Linked DNA regions of Macaca mulatta. The protein of the gene in region 1 interacts with the protein of each later gene in a pairwise test. Links are inferred from orthologs where the notes say so. Each region holds a gene or a part of one and is shown on either strand. Other genes may lie near its edges.

Region 1 (2,979 bases):
GCATTTTTTTTTTTTTTGAGATGGAGTTTTGTTCTTGTCACCTAGGCTGAAGTGCAGTGGCGAGATCTCAGCTCTGCAACCTCCATCTCCCAGGTTCAAGCGATTCCCCTGCCTCAGCCTCCCGAATAGCTGGGATTACAGGTACCCGCCACCATGCCTGGCTAGTTTTGTATTTTTAGTTGGCCATGTTGGCCAGGCTGATCTCCAACTCCTGACCTCAGGAGATCTGCCCGCCTTGGCCTCCCAAAGTGCTGGGATTAAAGGCATGAGCCACCGCACCCAGCCAATTCTGCAATTTATGGGCACAATTTTAGCAAATAGCAGGTATGTCATAGAGGGAAATCCAGAGTCACTTTTGCCAGTAGTTAGTGCAAAAGGAGTTATGAGTCATTTTTCTATTGCAGCTGTCCATGAAAGGCATGATTGATATTCTGCGTATCAGATGCAATATTTAAGAGACACTCTACATTTAACTTGACCCCCTCTCTACCTAACAGAGCTGTACTGATGTGCACATCACTTTTTCTTTGTCCCACATTGTAGGTGCTCATGTGACTATCACGGATCGAAAAGTAGCATTAGAATTTCTTAAATCAAACGTTCAAGCCAACTTACCTCCTCATATCCAACCCAAAACTGTTGTTAAGGAGCTGACTTGGGGACAGAATTTGGGGAGTTTTTCTCCTGGAGAATTTGACCTGATACTTGGAGCTGATATCATATATTTAGAAGAAACATTCACAGATCTTCTTCAAACACTGGAACATCTCTGTAGCAATCACTCCGTGATTCTTTTAGCATGCCGAATTCGCTATGAACGGGATAACAACTTCTTAGCAATGCTGGAGAGGCAGTTTACTGTGAGAAAGGTTCACTATGATCCTGAAAAAGATGTACATATTTACGAAGCACAGAAGAGAAACCAGAAGGAGGACTTATAATTGGCTATAATTTATAAGAATGCTGTCATTGAGTGTGCCACTTAAGGTCTTAGACTGCAAATCTAAACATATTTAATGAAATGTCTTACTGTACAAAAAGTCTAAAGCAAAGGTTCTCAGGGGAGAAAGCACATGTGCAGTTTTAAAACAAAGCAGTGCTTTGTCCCATTGCTATGAGTTTTAGTCATATTTACTCACACTGAAATCCAATTAACATTAAAGGATTAAGTGTGAGATTTTGGTTTATGCTATTTCTGTATCTCATACTATTCCCTCTTAATAAAGTTTCCACTGATGACATGAAGGCTGGTATAAAGATGTCTTTAAATGAGCAAGCTTTCTTTGGTAAGATTAAATCTTAACAAATTATTTTTAAAACCTTCTGATATATACAATGTTTAGCCAAGTTTTCTAATTTTCTGGATGTAAAACAAAAGGTTTAACATACATTCCTTGAGCTGTTAGTGCTATTGAAACCTTTTGCCCTGTTTAGATCCTAAAAACTTTTAGTTGGTTGAGTAGGATATGAGTTTTTTTGAGTCTCATATCATACTTTTTGCCTTAATTTCAGGTTTATATATGTTAATAAAGGAATTAAATAAAAATGAAATTTCAGTTACTTTTTGAAAGCACCTGAAATCTGGCTGGGTGCGGTGGCTCATGCCTGAAATCCCACCAATTTGGGAGGCTGAGGCGGGCAGATCACCTGAGGTCAGGAGTTCAAAAACAGCCTGGCCAACATGGTGAAACCCCATCTCTACTAAAAATACAAAAATTAGCCGGGCGTGGTGGCAGGCGCCTGTAATCCCAGCTACTTGGGAGGCTGAGGCAGGAGAATCACTTGAACCTGGGAGGCAGAGGTTGCAGTGAGCTGAGATTGGGGACAAGAGCAAGACTCCGTCTCAAAAAAAAAAAAAAAAAAAGCACCTGAAATCTTGAATATGTTGTCTATTTCAAGTCAAAAGCTGAGGTTTTCCCCTTCTGCTTTACCCTTGCTCAAATGTCTTAATGCAGTTCTTTCCCGAGCTTTCCTTGCTTCCTTAACAATGCATAGGATGACATTAGAAGTTTTAAATCTCATCCCTCCCTGAGATGTTAGCTTCCCACATATAAGCTCCTTTTGTATTGTACTTGTAATTGCTCATTCAACATTAGTATTGCCCCATAGAGTGTAAGCTTCTTGAGGGCCAAGAATGCTTCTGCCTCTTCCATTGTTGCTTCCCGAGTACCTTCTGTATATTTCATAACCAAATAATGAAAAAGATATATTCCATTTAAAGGACATTGACTTTGGGTTAAATGATTGTTATACTGTTTGATGATTATCTTTGATACACTTTGACATCTCACATACACACGAACTTTTCTTTTTACAATGCAAACGTTTAAACAATAGCTTAACTTTAGACTGCAAGAATATTATAATCTCAATATGGTATTTGGTACTAGAGATAGATTTCTTTTATAAAATCTTAAAAACAGGACGTTCTCTTCCTTTTGATCCCAGAGGTGAAAATATTCAGTATGTTGTTTTCTACATATATTGAAATAGCAGTTTCACTTTAATAAAGATGGATTAAAAGTTGTGAGCATTCTGTGATATACTAGTTCAACACAATTCTAATACACATGAAATGGAAATACCCATTGCTTACTGAATCCATAAAATGTCAGTGCTGCACCATGAATATGAAAGATTGTTTAAAACAAAGCCTGGCAGTATCACCAACACTATAATGACAAGCCAGTTCCACTTAGGTATGTTATCGGAAATGCATATATTAGTTAGAGTTCAGTTTCTTTAAGATCCATAACTTTGGAGATGGGTGTTAACATGGATGGGGCAGGGTGGGTTAGAGGTGGGAGCTTCAATAATATGCCTGGGTGATCTACCAAATGAGGTAAGCTATTATTGGGTTGTTTTCCATTTTCATAAAACATTAAGAATCAGAAAAATTTGAAAGCAGCTTTTTTCCTTTGACCTACAAATTAGAAGCACAGGCAAGAAAAAACAAAAATCATCAGAAATAGTTAGGTT
Region 2 (4,348 bases), on another chromosome or scaffold:
TCCTGAAACACATCCTGGTTAGGTAGTCAGATTTAGGGGAATGAAAACATATCCTTCAAACCAATCCTTAGCTAACAAATATTCTAGGTGTCTAAGTGAATGGTCCCAATGCTTGAATAGATATTTAAATTTTCTACGTTTTCTGAGCTGATGACATCCTCCTATGAAAGTTGAAACCTAAAATGAAAACCATGTCTTTTCTCTTTCTGTCTCTTTAGCAATGAGTAAAGGCATAATCCACAGGTAGGCTCAAATAGACCTTAGAAAACATTCTATCTCCAAGATAAATAAGTGATCCCCAAAGTTTCCGAAGTTCTGTGCCAGAGAATGTGGCTGAAATAAAGTAACAGGTATACATTTAAATCCGAATGCCCACTTTGGCCATTAAAAGAAAAATCACAAGCCAAGAATATCTACTTAAAGCATTAGCTTTCAAGTGGATCTACCAAGATGAACTAGTTGTAAAGTGTACTCCAATAAAATAAGTTGATCTGTTACACGGTTGTTATGAGCCTGTTAAACTGGAGGATATCTGCCAATCAAAAAAGGCAACCCGAAGTTTAAAGAGCTGATCTTAAGCCTTCATTTGTCAAGTAATGAGACTACATGACTACTTTTGCTTAGAACCACTTCTAATTAATGACAATAAAATTATGACATTACCATAAAATGCTTATTTTTCTGTATTCTATTAATGTATATTTATCATGTAATATTTGGGGAGGCAGAGGGAATAGAGGAAAATGTTTTTAGTCACATTAGAAATCTTTACAAGAGGGGCCTGGTGTGGTGACTCGTGCCTGTAATCTCAGCACTTTGGGAGGCCAAGGTGGGTGGATCACTTGAGGTCAGGAGTTCCAGACCAGCCTGGCCAACATAGTGAAACTCTGTCTCTAATAAAAATACAAAAATTAGCTGGGTGTGGTGGCGCATGCCTGTAATCCCAGCTACTTGGGAGGCTGAGGCAGGAGAATCGCTTGAACCCAGGGGGCAGAGGTTGCAGTGAGCTGAGATCACGCCACTGCACTCCAGCCTAAGGACAGCCAGACTCTGTCTCAAAAAAAAGGCTGGGCATGGTGGCTCATGTCCATAATTCCAGCACTTTGGGAGGCTGAGGAGGGCGGGTCACCTGATCTCAGGAGTTCAAGACTGGCCTGGCCAACTTGGTGAAAACTCGTCTACTAAAAATACAAAAATTAGCTGTGCATGGTGGTGGGTGCCTGTACTCCCAGCTACTGGAGAGGCTGACGCAGGAGAATCGCTTGATCTGGGAGGCAGAGGTTGCAGTGTGCTGAGATGACGCCACCGCACTCTCCAGACTGGGTGAGAGTGAGACTGTCTCAAAAACAAAACAGAACAAACCAGAAATCATTACAAGATCTGTTAAGAGGCCATTTCCTATCCACCTTGACTATGTCTCTCAAGTATATTTTAATTTAAAATTTATCTGTTTTGAACAAAAGTTTTAGGAAAATCAATTTATGGTATTCTTCTCCATCCCCCTGAAAAAGGGAGAATAAGTGGCAAGAATTTTCCAGAGCCTCAAAGATGAACTTACTGCCCAAGAGGCTTGTTTTAGAATCTCACAATTTGTACTTGCGCTTTTTGTGGTATTTAGGAATTACAATATCCTAAAAAATGTAAACATTAAAAAGCATCATCATCATAATGAGATATTGTTAAACAGGCATGATAATGGTATTGTGGTTGTGTTTTTAAAAAGTCCTCATGTGTTCGACACGATTACTTACAAGTGAAATAAGATGTCTGGGATTCCTTTGAAATACTATACTTCAGCACACTCACAAACATGCACAAAGCGGGGTGGAGATAAAAGAAATGACTGGCCTTAAGTTGGTAACTCTTGAAGCTGGATGATGGGTACACATCATTACACCATTCGATTTTTATGTATTTCGGAAACTTTCCATAATAAAAAAAGCATTATCTTAAGATAGATAGATATCACTCATTTTAAGAATGATTCTTTTGAGAGATTATCTTCAGAGGCTTAATGAAAGATCTGATATCACAAAGTAAAATGTTTTGGCAAGTTTATGAAGGGTAGATATGAAAAAGTATTACAATTGAGAAAAATCAGTTAAAAGTGAACACTCACAAAACATTTAGGGAATGCTAATACACACACACACACACACACACACATATATATATATTCATTCCAGCAGTGAAAACACCAAAGTGCAGTTGTAAACCTGAAACTCCAAACCAAATACAATTCAACTTCTATCCAGCCACTGAGTATGCAAGATCATGGTAGGCGCAGGTGTTTGGGGAGGCAGAGCATTTAAGCATTACATTTTGCAGTTAAAATTAATAGCCAGGAGAAAGGGGGCAGGAACTTGGTGGCTGGGCAGACGCTCCAGGGGCAAACGCCTGGGATCGTGGCTTTGTCACTTACAGGCTGGGACCTTTCCAAGCTTCAGTTCCTCCAGAGGGGATAACAGTACCTACCTTACGGGGTTGTTGGGAGGTTTAATTATAAGAATGCATGCAAATAACAAGCAGCTCTTAATTGATAGGACCTGATGGTGTTACTGTTAAGGACGGAGATTTTTACACCCTCCAGGGTGAGATAGGAACGCCAGCGGCTAGGAAAAAAAAAAAAGAAAAAGACTCAGTGCTGTCTCCGCCCGCCCGTCTCCGAGCCTGAGGCGCAGGCCCATGGGATGCTCGGGCTTCTTTTAGGCGCCTGTTTCAGGCTCCAGTTCCGCTCTCCGCTCAGCCTAGGGTCCAGCCTCTGGCCGTCAGAACCAGTAGAGACGGCGATTCCTCAGGTCTGACCCCCCAGCAGGAATCTGCGGTGCGCCTGCAGAGACGAGCATCCGCAACAACCTCCGCCTCAGCCAGGCCCGAGTTCCATCCGGGTTCTCCAGGGTGCTTCCCGCCCGTAAACTGGGCGAGGCGTCTCCCACACGCAGGCGCAGTAGCAAAGGGCTGTGGGATGGGCTGGCGGGCTTGAGTACTGAGCATGCGCGCTGGCCCTCCCCCTTTCTTTGAGGTTGTGTACGTGGAACACAAAATCGTTTGTTTATTGTGTCTGCCAGAGAGGATGAACCGTACAATTTCAGGAATGGAAGGGGCTACAAACTACACATAGTTCTTTTTAACATGCAGAGCACTGAAACTTTTATATTGTGTTGGGCTTTGAGCTTGGAGATGATAAAACGCTTGATAATTACCATGTTCCATGTGGAATAAATGAGAGAAAAAGAGAAGGAAGCTCATTGTAATCTCAGATTAGACATTTCAGCAGTGGAGGATGAGCTTCCATAGCTTGTGTACTGTTGTCCATGCAGGGTGATCCCCCCGCCTTTCCTTAAGTGGGAACATGGGGATGAATTTCCTTATCATCATCCATCTCAGAGGAAAGATTTTTATTTAAAATTCTTTCAACAACATGATTTCAAAGAAATAAACCCATATTAGAGAGGTTTTAGGGAAAAATCCCAAGTAGAGACTAGGAAACGTTGTTGAAAGAAGTAAACCGGAATATAGCCCTTTCCTGTTTGGGGGTCTTTCCAGAATTCTTATAAACTTAAATGAGTTTACTCATTTTTGTACAATATTGTTAGAAGCATTCTATAAGGCTAGTGTGTGTGAGGAGTGGTGGGGCGTCAAAGAACGTGGGCCAGATACATCATTTTCAGGTGCTGAGGGTGAGCCTGGTAAATATTGAGGGGCTGCATAAGTTTTTGTGGATGCAAGAAACTGCTATAAGACCAGCCTTGTTGGTCAAGAAACTAGGGCCTTAAATACTAGAGAAGGGGATAGGCTTCAGAATCCGAGACAGCTAGCTTCATGTCCTGACTCCAATACTTACAACGGTTAGGATTTGTGCAGATTACTTGGAGTTAATTCCATGTGCTTTTTGTAAAATTGATAGATCATCCATTACCCCATGAAGTTCTTTTGAGGAAGGAGGTAACATTATGACAATTACAGTACATAATTCTCGAAAAGGCAGCTATAATTGAGATAATAAAATCAAAGCTCAATCTGAATAATGTCCTAGGCATTACGATTTTGAGACAGGGTCTCATTCTGTTGCCCAGGCTGGAGTGCAGTGGTGCAATCTCTGCTCACTGCAACCTCCACCTCCCGGGTTCAAGCAATTCTCATGCCTCAGCCTCCTGAGTAGCTGGGATTATAGGTGTGTGCCACCATGCCCAACTAATTTTTGTATTTTTAATAGAGATGGGGTTCCGCTATGTTGGCCAGGCTGGCTGGGCATTACTTTTCGAAAATAAAACAGAAGACATGATTCTGGATATTATAGAATTCTTCCTAAATCAAAGTAAACTAGGCCTCATAGAAGAGGGAAAGA

Evidence for each region.
Region 2: the proteins of METTL21A (region 1) and FAM200C interact in binary tests that used the Homo sapiens proteins (3 or more experiments, as listed by UniProt). The two-hybrid records come from large-scale screens. The link is inferred for Macaca mulatta from reciprocal best matches to the Homo sapiens genes METTL21A and FAM200C.

The regions. Positions count from the first base shown.
Region 1 is NC_133417.1:112,878,245-112,881,223, reverse strand, and holds the end of METTL21A (protein N-lysine methyltransferase METTL21A), read left to right. Parts: intron 1-543; coding exon 544-941; 3' UTR 942-2,390; downstream 2,391-2,979. UniProt on the Homo sapiens protein: Protein-lysine methyltransferase that selectively trimethylates residues in heat shock protein 70 (HSP70) family members. Contributes to the in vivo trimethylation of Lys residues in HSPA1 and HSPA8.
Region 2 is NC_133411.1:169,255,086-169,259,433, forward strand, and holds the start of FAM200C (protein FAM200C), read right to left. Parts: upstream 2,887-4,348; 5' UTR 2,476-2,886; intron 1-2,475.